4 linked regions of the Mus musculus genome follow. The protein of the gene in region 2 binds, or shares a complex with, the protein of the main gene of each other region. Links are inferred from orthologs where the notes say so. Each region holds a gene or a part of one and is shown on either strand. Other genes may lie near its edges. The genes, in order: Eif3f, Eif3i, Eif3d and Eif3g.

The links.
Region 1: Eif3i (region 2) and Eif3f share a complex: the UniProt entries of both Homo sapiens proteins name them as parts of the eukaryotic translation initiation factor 3 (eIF-3) complex. The link is inferred for Mus musculus from reciprocal best matches to the Homo sapiens genes EIF3I and EIF3F.
Region 3: Eif3i (region 2) and Eif3d share a complex: the UniProt entries of both Homo sapiens proteins name them as parts of the eukaryotic translation initiation factor 3 (eIF-3) complex. The link is inferred for Mus musculus from reciprocal best matches to the Homo sapiens genes EIF3I and EIF3D.
Region 4: Eif3i (region 2) and Eif3g share a complex: the UniProt entries of both Homo sapiens proteins name them as parts of the eukaryotic translation initiation factor 3 (eIF-3) complex. The link is inferred for Mus musculus from reciprocal best matches to the Homo sapiens genes EIF3I and EIF3G.

The regions. Positions count from the first base shown.
Region 1 is NC_000073.6:108,933,032-108,937,230, forward strand, and holds the start of Eif3f (eukaryotic translation initiation factor 3 subunit F), read left to right. Parts: upstream 1-1,383; 5' UTR 1,384-1,400; coding exon 1,401-1,776; intron 1,777-4,199. UniProt on the Homo sapiens protein: Component of the eukaryotic translation initiation factor 3 (eIF-3) complex, which is required for several steps in the initiation of protein synthesis.
Region 2 is NC_000070.6:129,597,810-129,601,946, forward strand, and holds the start of Eif3i (eukaryotic translation initiation factor 3 subunit I), read right to left. Parts: upstream 2,840-4,137; 5' UTR 2,788-2,839; coding exon 2,785-2,787; intron 2,693-2,784; coding exon 2,600-2,692; intron 1,234-2,599; coding exon 1,146-1,233; intron 1-1,145. Other genes in the region: Tmem234 (transmembrane protein 234 isoform 1 precursor), read left to right, coding at 2,907-2,922, 3,174-3,325. UniProt on the Homo sapiens protein: Component of the eukaryotic translation initiation factor 3 (eIF-3) complex, which is required for several steps in the initiation of protein synthesis.
Region 3 is NC_000081.6:77,967,975-77,972,260, forward strand, and holds the start of Eif3d (eukaryotic translation initiation factor 3 subunit D), read right to left. Parts: upstream 2,851-4,286; 5' UTR 2,709-2,850; exon of another isoform or gene 2,485-2,708; intron 616-2,484; 5' UTR 606-615; coding exon 483-605; intron 248-482; coding exon 202-247; intron 1-201. UniProt on the Homo sapiens protein: mRNA cap-binding component of the eukaryotic translation initiation factor 3 (eIF-3) complex, a complex required for several steps in the initiation of protein synthesis of a specialized repertoire of mRNAs.
Region 4 is NC_000075.6:20,895,740-20,899,861, reverse strand, and holds the start of Eif3g (eukaryotic translation initiation factor 3 subunit G), read left to right. Parts: upstream 1-1,271; 5' UTR 1,272-1,298; coding exon 1,299-1,318; intron 1,319-1,437; coding exon 1,438-1,484; intron 1,485-1,694; coding exon 1,695-1,778; intron 1,779-1,885; coding exon 1,886-1,974; intron 1,975-2,095; coding exon 2,096-2,155; intron 2,156-3,641; coding exon 3,642-3,746; intron 3,747-3,844; coding exon 3,845-4,034; intron 4,035-4,122. UniProt on the Homo sapiens protein: RNA-binding component of the eukaryotic translation initiation factor 3 (eIF-3) complex, which is required for several steps in the initiation of protein synthesis.

The sequences.
Region 1 (4,199 bases), on a different chromosome or scaffold from region 2:
CAGCCTGGTCTACAAAGTGAGTTCCAGGACAGCCAGGGCTATACAGAGAAACCCTGTCTCAAAAAACCAAAAAATAAAAATAAAAAATGAAAATATTTATTTATCTATTACACACACACACACACTGTCCCTATCTTCAGACACACCAGAAGGAGGCATCAGATCCTATTACAAATGATTGTAAGCCACTGTGTAGTTGCTGGGAATTGAACTTAGGACCTTTGGAAGAGGTTATTGCAGAGAATCTGCGTTGAGGTTCTAGCAAGGGGAAGGGGTTGGTTGGTGGCTTACAGCTACTCACAACTCTAGTTGTGTTCCTAACCGCTGAGCCATCTCTCCAGTACCAGCATAGGAGTCTTCATAATTAGCTCCTGGCCCTGCTTAGAGATCTATCCTTTCTTTTGATAATGCCATTTAACCACCAAATTCTTTCTTTAAATGTACTAGTCTTGCTCTCATTCACCTTAAGCCCTCTACATGAACTGTTCACTCCACCAGAAGAGCTCTCCCTACAAAACCCCAAATAATAGTTGGCTGCCTGAATTCTTCAAGTTTCCACTCCAACTTGATACCCTCATTGTATCCTACTCTAACCCTTCATAATCTTTCATGCTCTCATAACCTCCACTGATCATTTCTTTCTCATAGCACAGTCAAATAGTAATAATAATTTACTGTGTATCGAAGCACTTTCTAACCTAATGTAGGATTTAGTCCTTTTCTCTCCCCCAAAGAGAATGCAACCCTTTGCTATTTAGTTCACTTATATACCCTAGCATATAAGAGAGAGTCTGGTGCATATTAAGCATTTAAATTGTTGAATGAATATGCCTCCCTAATGATGCCTTATGAAGCCATCACAAATAAAGCACTATTGGTCAGGCATGATGATTCCTGCCTATAGTCCTAGCATTCGGGAAGCAGAGGCAGGAAAGTTGAGGTAAGTTCCAGGCCAACCTAACCTATATGGCTAGGCGTGGAATGCAAAGTAGATCCTGAGTCCAAATTTTAATTCATTGATTAATAAGTTAAATGGATGTAACAGTGAATCCCCTGTAAGACTGATATTTAATATCCATTTAAGTCTTAAACAATTGCGACCTTTACACTACTCTGTGCCGCCACCTGGTGGCAACTGTGTAGATTGCTAGTTGCTTCCTCCCCATTCCCACCCCAGGAAGTCCTAAAGTTACTAGGAACTACTCTGGACTCCTACACACTGAGTGCGCATCGGACAGAAATTAAAGCGCACACCGCGCACTAAAACTTACAACTAGCCGGAAATTTCATGTCCAATAGTCATCAAGATATGATTCACGTGGTATAAATTTAGCCAATCAAATTTCTAATTCCTCCAACTCACGCTCTTCTGTTCTAGGCTCTCTCTCTTTCTCGGCAAGATGGCTTCTCCGGCCGTACCGGCTAATGTCCCTCCTGCCACTGCAGCCGCAGCCCCGGCGCCGGTCGTCACCGCAGCCCCGGCTTCAGCCCCGACCCCATCCACGCCAGCTCCGACACCGGCTGCGACTCCCGCTGCGTCCCCGGCGCCCGTCTCGTCTGATCCTGCTGTAGCTGCGCCTGCAGCCCCGGGCCAGACCCCAGCCTCCGCGCCAGCCCCAGCGCAGACGCCGGCGCCTTCGCAGCCCGGGCCCGCCCTCCCGGGGCCTTTCCCGGGCGGCCGCGTGGTCAGGCTACACCCCGTCATTTTGGCCTCGATCGTGGACAGCTACGAACGCCGCAACGAGGGAGCTGCCCGAGTTATTGGAACCCTGTTGGGTGAGTTCTGGGGAAATTAATGTTTTCTTCCTGTGCATCTTACTATTCCTCTCGTTCCATCGCCCCTGAACTCTTAGCCTGTTTCTCTTTTTGCACCTTCCTACTGTGGCTTGCCTTCCCGAGTGATCTGAATTCAGCCGAATTGCCGTTAAGCCACAGAAATGTGCAAGGAGTAGGTATAAGCTATTGCGTAGTTTGTGATACTTGATCTACATGTTATTTTATACTCCCAACAACGTGGTACTGAGAGGGCATGCTGCCAAAAATGAAAGCTCAAATGACAGCAAGTTCAAAGCCCTTGACCCGTTAAACAGAGTACCCACATGCCCTCTCTTATGCAGTGACCTACCACCACCCCAGCACAAACAGAAAGTGCCCACCACCCATGTTAGGGAAGAGGATGTGTCAGAAGCTTCCTCCAACTCAAATAAACCAGGTATATTTGTAACATATTCTGGATATATAATATCTAGCTTTCCTAAACTTTTCAGACAGGCACGTGTCCCAAGGTTTTCCTACATACTGGTTCATAAACCCTAGATATGCTCAGCTCCAAGTTCTACCCCCACCCCCAACCCCCACCTCACTCCTCTGATTTTTCATTTGGACACAGACTGTTGTTGTATTATGTGTCCGTCGCTAACCTTCAAGATGAAGAGAAGCCAACTATCTGAAGAGGTTGGCATCCCAGGCTTACGGGAGGGTGGCAGGAAGTGAAGCCCTCAGTGGTTTGGTCACCTGCCTGTGGGGCAGGACTCACAGGGAGCTGAGAAGACTCCTCCAGGCTGGTCTCTGCAGAGGCCCATGACCAGCACTCATTCCAGAGCCGAGGCAGGGGAAACTAGAGAACATGCCTGCTTTGTGGAAAGTAGTAGACCTGAGTTGGGCCTGGACAGCAGATTGAGGGCTGAAGCAGAGCACCTGCAAAGGGGAGGCAGAGAGAGGCAGAGAGTGGACGCAAGGAAATAGAGCTCGCAGGTCAAGGCGTGACAGAACTGCAGCATGAGAGGGGTTTGGGTGAGTTCTAGAGCTGCCGTTGTGCATACAAGAAGAAAGGACAGAGTGTGGCTTGGGCTTGGTATTCCTTGTGAGGTGCCCCTGAGTGTACCAGTGGGTTGGTCAAGTAGAAAATTGAGTAAGCAGGGCTGCCAGGGCGCTTCACTGCCTGCCCGTGCTTCACTTCCCAGAGCCCACATGATGGAAGGAGAAAACCTGCAGACGGTCCTCTGACTTCCATGGGCAAGCAGTTGCACATCCATAATTAATCAGTATAAAAGAAAGGCAAATTTTAACAGTACGTGTGAAGATGCAAATGTAAAGAGGTGTGGGCAAGTATGCCCTAGCCCCCAGAAGATAAGTAACTGAAATAAAGAGGTAGATGTACTCACCTACCACAGGGATTGGTAGCTGTGTTTTTAAAAAAAGTCAGGGAATATTTTCAGCTTTGTGTGCAGTCTGTCACAGCTACTCAACTCTGCCCTTGTAGCAGGAAAAGAGCCATAAATAATGCAAAAGAGATTGGGCACATAAACATGAACTGAAGTGTTTCTGGGCCAGTACTTGACCTAGAAAAGAAGCATAGAACAAAAACTGGGAACACTAACAATGCTGAAACCCTGAGGTGTCAGAGGAGCTAACAGATTAGGAAGAGAAGGGGAAAAGCTAGAAGAGACTGGTATCTTGGAGGCCCTAGGAGAAAAGGCTCTGAAATGGGGGAAGCAGTCACAGTGGTCAAAGTTGGTGAGTGTTCAGATGACAGAAGGTATACCTGTGGGTTAAGAACCTTGTCTTAGGGTTCCATTGCTGTGAACAGACACCATGACCAAGGCAGCATTTCACTGTGGCTGCTTACTGGTTCTGAGGTTCAGTCCATTATCATCAAGGTGGGAAGCATGGCAGCATCCAGGCGGGCATGGCACTGGAGAAGGAGCTGAGAGTTCCATGTCTTATTCAAGGGAACCCAGAAGAAGACTGGGCTTCGTCCCACCCGGCTAGAAGGAGGGTCTCAAAGCCCACTCCCACAGTGGCACACCTAGTCCAACAAGGCCATACCTCCTGTTAGCACCACTCTCTGGGCCAAGCATATTCAAACCACCACATAGTTCAGAAAATGAAACCATAACGCTAGCCAACAAAAGACAACACTAGCAGAGACATGTTACAAGGGGTAGGGGGTGAGGAACTTAAAGGAAGGTACCAGGACATCAAGTGAGAATAGTTGGGACCTATGGCTCAGTGAGATCCAGTAACTAATGTGAGAGTTAGGGGTGTGAGAGGAAGTCTGGTAAGAAAACCTCTGGGGGTGGAATGACCCTTTCACAGAAGATCATCAGAAAACACAAGTATTTCAATTACATTTATAACAGTAGCAAAATTGTAGTTATGAATTATCAATGAAAATAATTTTATGGTTAAGGGTTACC
Region 2 (4,137 bases):
TGCGTCACCACGCCCAGCCAGGTGGATCTCTTAAGGCCTACCTGGTCTGCAGAGAGTTCCAAGACAGCCAACGCTACCATAGTGAGACAATGTCTTGAAAACCAAAAAACAGGGGCTGGAGAGATGGCTCAGTAGTTAAGAGCACTGACTGTTCTTCCAGAGGTCCTGAGTTCAAATCCTAGCAACCACATGGTGGCTCACAACCATCTGTAATGGGATCTGATGTCCTCTTCTGGTGTGTCTGAAGATAGTTACTGTGTACTCACACATATAAAATAAATAAACCTTAAAAAAATTTAAAAAGAAAAAAAAAGAAAACCAAAAACCAAACCAAAAACCCCTAAACAAACAAACAAACAAACAAACAAAGCTGGAGAGATGGCTCAGTCGTTAGAGCAATGGCTGCTCTTCCAGAAGACCCAGTTAGGTTCCTAGCACCCACATAGTAGCTCGCAACCATTTATAACTCCTGTCCTAAGGGATCTGCGGCCTTCTGTCATTTAAAGGAAAATGGCTAGCAAAGTACACACAAGGTACACAGACACATATGCAGCAAAACACCCATACAAATAAAACCAATCTTTAAGCTGGGCAGTAGTGGCGCATGCCTCTAATCCCAGCACTCAGGAGGCAGAGACCAGCCTGGTCTACAGAGTGACAGTCCAGGACAGCCAGGGCTATAAAGAGAAACCCTGTCTTGAAAAACAAACAAAAAAAAAAAAAAAAAAAAAACCCAAAAACCAAAAAACACCAAAACCAAAACCCCTAATCTTTAGGGAAAAGAAAAATGATAAAAAAGATTAAAAAAAAAAAAAAAGGTTGAAGAACAACTTAAGACCTGATGCCTCCATTTGTCCCTACTCCTGTGCACACAGATTCACCACGCACATATATACAAATAAGAATACATAGTCCACCTAGTCCATATCTTCTTGGAAGCCATCAGAGCATCTCCCAGGTCAGTCCCAAAGAGACTTTCTCACTTTTACCTCAGAGTGCCCTGACCTCTGAATTCCCAAACTTGAACCTGTCCTAGTTTCCCACAGGATGAAGTAGCTGGGAGTAGGGAGTGTTATTCTCTAGACCGCCACAACATGCCAAAGCCAGTATCTCCAAGGCTGGCTAACCCATGGCCAAAAGGATACAGTCAGCATCCACGCACCACACAGCTCCAGTGTGGCCCATGTAGGTGCCTAGCCTCTCCCCATTGACAGAGTACCACACGTTGACGATCTGGAAAGAGTAAAATGATAGGATGGTCACATCCCAAAATAATCAATAGCTTAGCTTGCACTACAAACCCTCTGCAGGCTCTAGCCAAGCCAGGTTTGCCTTCTGCTCATTTACCAGTGAAGAGCTGATAGGACCGCCCAGCTCCTGGGTTCTCCTCCTTTCCTAACATAAGCTGTAGAAGAGCCAGGCCTCCAATAGCATCCTCATGTGCTTTTGTCTGGAGTCAGAAGAGGTAAAGGCCAACCTGAGTTGCAGTGTGAAAAAAAACCTTTCGGGTCCTGTTCAATTGACTCCGGATGACAGTAAGGATGTATGGGCTCCACTGCTTTGTCACTAGCTCACTGTGTGATCTTAAATACAGAGCTCCCTTCCTTTAAATGGCTAGGAGAGCTGAAGAGAAGGCTCAGAGCTTAAAGAGCACTGGCTGCTCCTCCAGATGACTTGGGTTTGATTCCCAACACCCACATGATGGCTTACAACAATCTGTATCTGCAGTTCCAGGAGATTTGATATCCTCTTCTGGCCTTCACAGGCACCAGGCACTCACATGCTATGTAGACATACAATGCAGCAAAGCACCCATACACATAAAATAAACAAAATCATTACACACACATACATTAAAAAAAAAAAATGACTGGGAGGGGCTGTGTGTGGTAGCACACACTTGTATTCCCAAGACCAGGAGGCTGAGGCAGGAGGATGGAGAGGTGTGCTGGCCACCATGGACAGATACCCCACTCTTGTCAACAGCTTTCTTCAAAGGGCAGCTGTGAAGCTCCAATGAAACCATGTCTATGAAACTTAAAATAAGTGACTTACATGCATCGGGTACAGTGCAAAACGATTTACAGAAATGACCTCACTCTGCTGAGGGAGCTAATTAAAGTCTCCATGTTTTATTAAAAGGGAAAACTGTGGTTTATAGAAAAGGTAAATGTCATGTTCAAAGTCACACTGCTTAGTAGGAGCAGGAGTTAGGGCTCAGATCTCAAGCTCCGACTTAACTCTCCACTGTTAACTATCAGTTTATTGCCTCCAATGCAAATGCCTCAAAAGACAATCCCCAAAGGAAACAAAGTGGGATTGAACAGACCACTTGATTCTGTCCTGTCCTGTCCCTGGGCTCCCTTCCAGTCTCCTGATTCTCTTCTCCCTGGCTAGGTACCCTTCCCTTCCAGATTTCCCTGGCGGAATGCTGTCGCCAACCTACCGCGGTATGGGGTTGGTTTTCCCTACTTATCAGAAAAATTTCCCTCCCGCAGGCAGTAAACCTTGTCCACCCGCAGTCCGGGCGGCGCGAACTCGCCCCCTCCGGGCCCCCCGCCCCGGACCCCCGGCCGCCCGCCCTCACGCAGTCGCTCACAGGGTCTTTGGCCACGGTGAAGAGAAGGTCTCCTTCGCGGTTATACTTGATCTGCGTGATGGACCGCTCATGGCCCTGCAGCAGGATGGGTTTCTGTGGGGACAGAACCGGGGTGTCAGTGCCGGGAACCCCGTCCCATGCCTACTGAGGCCCCCCGACGGCAGCACGCCGCGCCTGGAACTCACCATCCTGGCGGTGACGCGAGGAGAGAGGCAATGTGAGTGGGACCGGAAAAAGACTAGGGACGACTTCCGGATGCGGGGGCTCCGCCCTCTCGCTCCCGGAAGTAGAAGGGCCTGGCGTTTTCATGGCGGCGTCCTGGGGTGGGTAGCCGGGCCCCCCACCTCCGCGGGCTCCGACTCTGGCTCGGGAGCTCTGTTCTCAGTCTCCTGGCATCCCCGAGCCTCAGGAATGCTGAGCCACGCACCCTGGTCTCACTTCGGCCGCCCTCTGGGCGGGTCCTCCCGACCGATCACAGCCCGGCGGGAAGAGGGAGGGAGGGAGATGGAGCCGGGCAGCAGGGTGCAGGAGGCCGGAGGAGGACCCGGGTGACTTTCTGACCCTTTGCTTTCAGGGCAGGTGCTTGCTCTGGTGCTGGTGGCCGCACTGTGGGGTGGCACGCAGCCGCTGCTGAAGCGAGCCTCCTCCGGCCTGGAGCAAGTGCGTGAGCGGACGTGGGCCTGGCAGCTGTTGCAGGAGATAAAGGCTCTCTTCGGGAATACTGAGGTGCGTCTAGCTCTCACGGACGAGCCCCTGAAAATTTCACCATAGGTCGGCCGTATTCCCAGCCCATCTCTTACTCACTAGAAGTTCCTGGAAGAGTCATTTATCCTCTGTGAGTCTGTTTCGTCAAAAAAATGGAAAATTTAATGATAACCCTTGTATAGGGCTGATATAAGAACTCAAGTAAGACACATAAAACACTTAGCATTGGGCCTAGTACAGGGTACATGTTCAATCAATGACTATTTTTGCTTATTGTTTGTTTTTGGAGACAGGGTTTCTCTGTGTATCCCTGGCTACCCTGAACTCACTAGCCTCGAATTCAGAGATCAGCCTGCATCTGACTCCTGAGTGCTGGGATTAAAGGCGCCACCACTGCCAGGCTCCAGGACTACTCTTAAGGTCATCATCACCAAGTTGAGCTTTCTTTCGGCTCAACTTGCCCTGGGGTAGAACATAAGGAAAGCTATCGAGAACTGCCCATGGCTGCCTATGTAAGCTAGCTAGATATGCCCTACTCTGAGGGTTAGGGGGAAGGAGAGAGGTACTATATTTATAGTACTGTGTGAATTCTGTACAGAGAGATGAAGCTGGAGGACATGGAGTGGGCTACTTAGAAGGGGTAACACTGTCACTCAAGGCCTTATACCAGCAGGGACGATGGGAACTGGCCATGACGAGGGAGAGGGCATTTAAGGCAATAGAGTACATTGAATGCGTTTCTCTGTTTGCTCTAAGGGGTCTTCAAACACATGAGCGGTCCCTGAGCATTTGTAACCATGCCAACCCCCGTGGGAAGGTGCAAGCCAGAACAG
Region 3 (4,286 bases), on a different chromosome or scaffold from region 2:
AATGCAAAGTAGCTTTCAGGAATCTCTGGCCATCCTGGGACTAAAAATCATGGTTTGTGTACACTCTATTCCAGAATATACTTCCAATAACTACCATTACCATTTCCTTTCCTTTCTAAAAACCTTTCATGTGGGGCTTACTGAAAAAAGTAATGAGCTTCCCAAGACCCAGATGTGGACGGGCCGCCGAGGACCACTTACTTGTGTACCTCTTGTCCTGGTATGTGGCCCCTGTCCAGTCTGCAACCTGTGAGGGACAAGGAAGACAACAGGTCAGGCGAGTAGACTTCTGCTGACATCGACAGCGACAAAAGGCATCAGTGTCGCCTCTGATGCTCTGCACGTGGCTACCCTGGCTCTGACTCATTCTGGAGGTCAGGGCCTTCCTTAGGTGGTAGCCCCAAAGGAAGGATATCCATCAAGAGACTAGAAAGGCAGTGGGGAACTGTGGAGTAGCTGCCCCAGCTGAAGGGACCCAATACCTTTCCCAGCCGATCTCCTTTGCTGAATGGCTGGTAGGGCATATCCCGAAATTGCTCAGGAACGGCACAGGGACCCCAGCCTGAGGGGTTGTCCTGGATCACAGGTGTCATGAACTTCGCCATCTTCTAAAACCTGTGAACACAAGCAGTGTGAGAAGTTTCAGAAGGAAGGCCGCCAAGTTCCAAACACTCCACCCTCCACTGAAGCTGCACTGCAGAGGTGCACCCTGGCTCTCGAGCACTGTGGACAGGGTTTTCCTGTAAACTGTTCAAAGAACACTCAAAACGCAGAACCCTGCCAACACCAGCGACATTTTCCTATGTCTCACTGATTCTAGGACAGGTTCTTTGGTGAACATCTTTGCAATGAAGCTGTGCCTTTCCTTGATGGGGTGTCCCGTCTTTCTCAGTAGAACATATGATAAAGGTGTCTTCAATTATTCAAGGAGGTAAGAGTAGTGAATTCCCCGAAACACCTTCACCAAAGCACCCAACAGCAAATGTCTCTAAACCCAGTCTCCATCAGAGGGCCTCGGTCAAAGTCTTGGTGATTGTCACCCTGCACAATTACCACTCAGTTACACAAAGGCACCGGCACACAGTGCTTTAAAGACCCTCGGGCTGCTGAGATGGTGCCACAAGTAAAGGTGGAACCAAAGTGGAAAGTGAGAACAGACCCCCACACGTGGCCTTCTCCAGCAGAATGCCACAGCACAAACTCCCACACACGTGCATACACAGACAGCAACAACAAAATCCTAAAAATAAAGGACTAAAACCAACCAAACAAGACCATCCCCTGAACCCTCAATCAGACCCCACCCTTCCAATTTTCCATCAGCACAAGTCCTGTACAGTGCATGCAGCCAAGCAAAAGGACCATTGGTGACCAAGGTGGTCACAAACTTCAGAGCAAAAGCGGCCGAGTGTCAAATGTCCATACGCAGGAGCACCAGGACACTGTTCTGACCGCTTACAGCACACGCGCTCACTAAACCCTTCGGACAATCCCGTGGGGCCAGTCCCATTTTCTGGGTAAGAAAATTTGAACACAGGCAGTGTAGCTTTGGCCCCGCAGTATATAGTATATACCACAGCTCATTTTAGGAAAGTAAAAGCTAATAGCTGTATAATCCAGGGGCTTGCTGGACACTTCCCATCAAAAACCAAAGCAAACAACAAAAGGAAAAAAAAAAAACCCATGCATTGACCACACACAAGAAACCTGAAATTGTCCACCATTAGAGCTCAGTAGCCTCTCCTCCTCCTCTGACACACGGAAGCTGGTGATACTTAGGTGACACGGACAAGAGTAAACCCAGGAGCTTCACCCTCCAAATATGAACGTATGCTAAGTTGTAGGAAGAACACGGGGTTGTGGGAGAGAGGGTGAGGTGGTGGTGGTGGGGTGTGGTGGCCTTCAAACAGCTGACATGAAGTAAGAGGCCCCAGGATGTTGGGGTGCTGTGCTGGACGCTTTACCACCGACTGCTACCACACACCCCATCTTTGAGACACAAAGCTAGCTCTGCTAACTTAAGGAGTCCATCTGCCCATCCCTTCAAAAAGTTTCCAAGGCTGTCTACTTAGGCCCGACCTCCTTCTGGTTATACTGTGGGTAGCTGGCAGCCTGACCACCTGGGGCTTTAAGCCATACCCAACAGGCTGCCCCCAAAGCAACTGTAAACTTGAGTTGTCACAAGTTCAAGATGGCTCAAGGCCTGATGTGCATCATCATCTATCTCCCTGGATGGACAGGGTTTGGTCCTTCGGCTACTGCACACGTGAATCAGAAAGAAAGCAGTAGGGGAAAAGTAAAACGGCGCGACAGCTGTATTGGCCACAATACAGTGTGGGTCACTGGGGACACTACAGGTGGGGGCCATTAACTCCTGGGCTCCGTTTCCGATCAGAGCTGGAACCTACTCTCAGCCCCCCATTTCGGAGCACAGAAACAATCTGTTCGAACCCCTAGAGGAGGCTACGTCGCCCCACAACCCACCCCACGGCGCTGAGCAGAGCGCCGAGCGAGGGATCCACACACAAGGTCCGGTGTCCTGCATTCTGAGTCGTGCCTGGGACCACCGGGGGCCAATTCCCGCCCCGCCCAGCGGAGGGGCACAGGCGACAGGACGTAAAGGAAGGCTCTTCCGGGAGCTCCCGAAGCCACGTCTAGCCCAGGCTGGCTCGCGAGGTCCGCAGGGTCCCACGAAACAAGCCGCTCACCTGCAAAAGCCTTCACGGGCCCGGATGGCGACAGATGGCCCGGGGAAAAAACTGCGATTGCCGGGATACTCCGAGGAGTCAAGGCAGGAGGGAAGATGCGCGCGCAGGGGCCGGTGCCGTAAACGGCGACCAGCGCTGTCGTAAATGGCCCTACCACTTCCTTCTTAGTCAGCGGAAAAATGTCAAGCCGTAAAGTGAGACACAACCGGAAGTGTGTCACAGCTCTCGGCTTTAAAAAAAAAAAAAAAAAAAATCCTCGTTCGCCCCTGAGGTGCCAGACACAAGTGAGGGGATTACGTCAGTGGCGTCTGGGGACGCCCGGAGAGGTTCAGAACTGAATCGTGGTCACGCTCGGGGCCAGAGAAGCCGGGGCGGGGAGTCGGAGCTGTCCCCGCGGTGTCCCATAATGCTTCGCGCCAGGCTCGCCTCCTCTGCCTCCCACAATGCCCCGCCGCGCTCGCTGGCCCCAGCGTGGTCGTCGGTCTGGCTGATCGTTATCTGGAGAGTGGCCCGGCGCGTTTCGTGTGCTTGTCACTTGTGGCCCCAACGCAGGGTGGCAAATGACCTGCCTAGTCCGGGTTGCTAGAGCTTCGGGGTGCCCGCTAGGACTCAAACCTTTGTCCCACAGGTCACAAGCGTCTTTCAACGGAGATTTCTGGTCGCTATTTTTTAAAGCAGATTTAGAGTGCCTCGCTCTAAATCGATATTCAGATCGGGGCTATCCAAGCTACGTCTTAATTGATCATCACAGTTCACAGGGTGCGGGTCAGTGTGACCTCTTGGCGTCTTCCACCCCCTGCAGCCGTCTGGAAAGAGACTCGGGATGGGCGTTTTTTAAAAAGCTGGTCCCTTCTGCCTGCTGTTTATGTTTCCTTGATAGTTTCTCAGCAGATCTCCTTGATTAGAAAATACATCTTTAAAAAAAGAAAAAAAAAAAACATCTTAGATACATGTGGTGTCCAGGGTCAGCCAAGTGTAGTTTTATGGCCTTCATATCTGACATCTCTCTCCCCTCCTCCCTTAATGAAACTGGAAATGCTAGATAATAAATTGTAAAATAAATGGTTGTCAAAGGACATTTCCACATTCGGGTCCTTACCGTGGATACCACTGGGATGAATTTGATCAGGTGATTTGGCCTCTACCTGTGTTGGAAATGGTAATGTTGGTGGGATTACCCATTTCACTAATTTACCAATGAGCTTGCCTTCCCGTTTCCCCAATTTGTGTTCTCAGGATTTGGTGGGTCCTGCTGGGTCCTCGTCATTAACTTAAATTTCCCACCACATTGGGACTAGCCTGTCTGTGTTGTAACTTCAGCCGTACCTGAGTGCTGTCTGCCCTCATAGTACCATCTCCCTCATTGTTCGAACCATTCATACTCCCAGTGGGTTGCTCCTCAGGATGCTCAAAGCTCTTCCCACACTTCCGAGGGAAGATGTGGCCTGACATCTCCCTGCCCTTCTGAACAACCTCTGCTCTGGCCACCACGACCCTGCTCTCATTCCTCTCCCAGCAGGTCCCACACTTGCTGTACTTTCTGCCCCAAAGGTTTACTGTCACTGTCTGGGTCCTATT
Region 4 (4,122 bases), on a different chromosome or scaffold from region 2:
ATGGGAGCAGGATACGTGTAAGGCAAAACCATGTTCCCAGGTAAACCCCCCATTTCTGAATCCTGATTGGTGATGTGACTTGGCCCAGATGTTTGTGGATTTGAGGCTTAAAAACCCTGCAGGATCTTAAGTCAGGGTCACAGTTCAGGTCCTGAATCTGGACTGTGGCCCTGGTTAACCAGTCCTGACATGTATGCTCAATAAAGTGCCTCTCTCTGACTGAGACTGGGGCTCGTGTGGTCTGTGAGGGGACTCCTGGACCACAGCAGGAGGCTGGCTGCCAAGCCTGAAGGCCTGAGATCAATCCCAAGACCCACATAGTGGAAGGAGAGACTGTCTGCAAAGTGTCCCCTGACCTCCATGTGTGCTATGTATGCACAAGCATGCTGTCTTCAAATAATACAAACGCACAACAAGGTTGTAGGATAAACCCTAGCATGCTACACAGCAAAGGAGGCACAGGAGACCAGGTGGCCTCTTATTCAAAGAAAGGACGTCTTAGCACAGGACAAAAGGGTTTGGTCTGAGTCTGTTTCTTCTTCAACAAACCAGAATCCTGGTATCCTCTAAACGATGTGGGGCGAGGGCATTCTTGATACACGTGCTTTTCAGCCAAGCTTGTTGGCACACAATTATAGCCCCAGCTATTTGTGAATTCCTTGCGTTTAGGAGTTCAGGGGCAAGCCTGGGGAACAAAGCAAGACACCTTTAGTTTTGGAGACAGAGTCGCATGGAGCGCAGGCTAGTCTGGAATCCACGAGGTAGCTGAAAATGGCCTTTAACTCATAATTTTCCAGCTTCCACCTCCAGCACTGCGATTACTGATGGCTGAAAACTAATTCTCCGGGAAGAGGGAGAGAACGAATCAGTTCCGGGTGTGGCGATTTCATGTTCATATTCCCAGCACGGACGAGAGTAAGGTGGAAAGACAGCTATGAATTCAAGGCCACCCTGGGAATACTGCTCGTGAGCCTGTACTTTCAGCCTTTTGGAGTTGAGACAGGATTGTGAGGCTATCCTATCTATAGAGTGAGACACTCACGTCTAGCCCCATTACCCAAAGGGGGAAAAAAAAAGTTTAAAAAGTTCTTTGAAGCTTTTTTTTGGACCCCTTTTCCAGGTTGGATCTCAGCGCTTTGCGGTGCGCGAGAGCCGCGTGTCCACCTTTGTCCGCAGGGAGGCGCTGTGCTCACCGCGGTCTGGCCGCTCTAGGCTGCGGCCGCGGCACCGGAAGCCTCTTCTACTCCGGCTTCCTGTCTTTACCCGGGCTGGGAGCTGCGTGGAGTTAAGACTTCGAGATGCCGACTGGCGACTTTGAGTATGCGTGGGGTGGCGATGGGGTCGCCGGGGAGGCCGCGTGGGGGCTGCTCTGGGGTGCGTGGGGGTCTGGGCGGCGCGGGGGGCCGGGACCCGCTCACCAATCTCCTGTCCCCGCAGCTCGAAGCCCAGCTGGGCCGACCAGGTGGAGGAGGAGGGAGAGGACGGTGAGTGCCGAGCGTGGCCGCGCCCGCTGCCTGTTCCCGGGGCCCACGCTCCGGCTAGGGCCGCGCGTGGCCAGCCCCACCCTCGCCCTGCGCTGTGCCCCCGGTGCAACCCGCAAACACACAACACACACACACACACACTCTCTCTCTGACTTGAAAGTTCCCGTCCCGTGGCTCACTCTACCTTCCTCCCCGAATTCCCTCTGGCAGACAAATGTGTCACCAGCGAGCTCCTGAAAGGAATCCCTCTGCCCACCGGGGACACCAGTCCAGAGCCCGAGTTACTGCCCGGAGGTGAGCAGTGTCCATCCCTGCCTGCTTCCTCTTCCCTTCCGACTCTCAAGCCTACTTTCCAGCCAGTCCCCATTACCCGGGAATCAGTTTCTGTCATCTTCCTCCAGACCCGCTGCCACCTCCCAAGGAAGTCATCAATGGGAACATAAAGACAGTGACTGAGTACAAGATAGAGGAAGATGGGAAGAAATTCAAGGTGAGGTCGAAGTGGACACATAGGGCCAGTGCCTTTGTGTTCAGGGGTTCAGGTGGAGGGGTGTCAGTGGCTGAGACAGGGCCTGAGGCTCTGGAAGCACTCCTCTCTTATTCATCTTCAGATTGTCAGAACCTTCAGGATTGAGACCCGGAAGGCATCAAAGGCTGTGGCAAGGAGGAAGGTGAGATTCTACCTCATTTGGGGGGTAGGGTGTTCTCTGGGGCTGATCCTGAGGAGTTGGGAAGCCCCTTTTTGTTGATGTGGAGTAAACGTTTAGTGTTAGGCCTTGAAAGGTTAGGGCCCAGGAGTAGATGAAGTTAGATGCTTTATTTATTCATTTACTTTTGTTTTTTTATTGTTCTCCTTTTGTGTGCGGATGTGCGCAGCATCATCCCCCCCAGCACATGGCACAGCATACTTTTGGTTTGAGCTGGTCTCTCGGTATTAGGAACTAGACTAGGCTTGCTGGGCACTAACAGCCCCAGGGACCCTGCTGTCCCCACTTCCTGTCTGGCCTGCACCGGGAATGCAAGTTTGCCTCTGTGCACAGTGTTTGACTGTGGGTGCTCGGGGTCAGAGTCTGACGGACACTTGTGTGACAGACACTGTACTGAGACATACCCAGCCCTCTTGGGTTTTATTGTTTGTAGTTTGTTTTTCCAGACAGGGTTTCTCTGTGTAGCCCTAGCTGTTCTGAACTCACTCTGTGGTCTAGGCTGACCTTGAACTCATAGATCCACATGCATTAGGATTAAAGGCATTGCCACCATTTGCTGGCTTGTTATTTTTGAGAGGCTCTAGCTCTGGTCTTCATTCTAAATGCTTCTGCCTCAGCCTCCTGCATCCTGACCTCCATTCTCTCTCCTTTGACCTGTCTACATGAAGAAGCAAGCAGCCTCTACTTACCTAGGGGGGAGGGCTTGTAGAGGAGGGACAGCGACGCTTGAGAGCAAGGTCCCGTGCCAGCGTTCAGCAAGACACAGCTTCTCAGGCTCCAGGCCAGCTTAGGGAGGCAGGGAGCTTTGTGGCCCCTGTTTTACAGGCAGGAAATGAGTTTCAGGTTTAACTGGCTCGGTTCCTAAGGTCTGGGTGATTCCTCCTTTGTCCCTGGTGGGAGGCTGGCCATGGAGCAGCCCAGAAACTGCCAGCGGCACAGTGGAGCCCTGTACTCAACCTTTTTTTTTTTTTTTTTTCTCAAGACAGGGTTTCTCTGTATAGCCCTAGCTGTCCTGGAACTCACTCTGTAGACCAGGCTGGCCTCGAACTCAGAAATCTGCCTGCCTCTGCCTCCCTCCCAAGGGCTGGGATTAAAAGCGTGCGCCACCATGCCCAGCATGTACTTAACCTTTTATATGAGTGTTAGAAAGTGTACTGCACGTTTTCACACGAGCTACCTTACCAGCACCTACCTCAGATAACTCAGGCTGGTTTTGAGCTTGCGTGTCTTGAGGTCCTCCTGTTTGCACCTGGCAAGTGTTGGGGTGACAGTTGTGTGCCACTGTGTTTAGCTTAGGGAATGGGGATTGTCACCATTACCACAGGGAAGGCCTCTAGAGAGACTAGATCTTCGGATTCAAGGCCCCGGAATGGTTGTCTGTCTGGGGTACCCACTGCAGGATCCTTCCTGTCTTTTCCTCACTTCTCCCCATTGTTTTCTGGGAGCCCAGAATTGGAAGAAGTTTGGCAACTCGGAGTTTGACCCACCGGGGCCCAATGTGGCCACTACCACAGTCAGTGATGACGTCTCTATGACATTCATCACTAGCAAAGAGGTGAGCTGGGTGAAGCTGGAGCCTGAGAAATGCAGTGGGGGTGGTGTGGGCCGGGCCCAGCAGCCTCCTCTGAGCCTTCCCTCCCTATACCCCACCAGGACCTAAACTGTCAGGAGGAGGAGGACCCAATGAACAAGCTTAAGGGCCAGAAGATTGTGTCCTGCCGCATTTGCAAGGGCGACCATTGGACCACCCGTTGCCCCTACAAGGACACACTAGGACCCATGCAGAAGGAGCTGGCTGAGCAGCTCGGCCTGTCTACTGGGGAGAAGGAGAAACTGCCAGGAGGTGTGGACGTGGGGACCTGGGAGGGTCTCAGCTGTTCTGTGGTAGTGTGCTCTTCTCTTCCCTGCATTACCTGTGGCCAAGTTTGAGT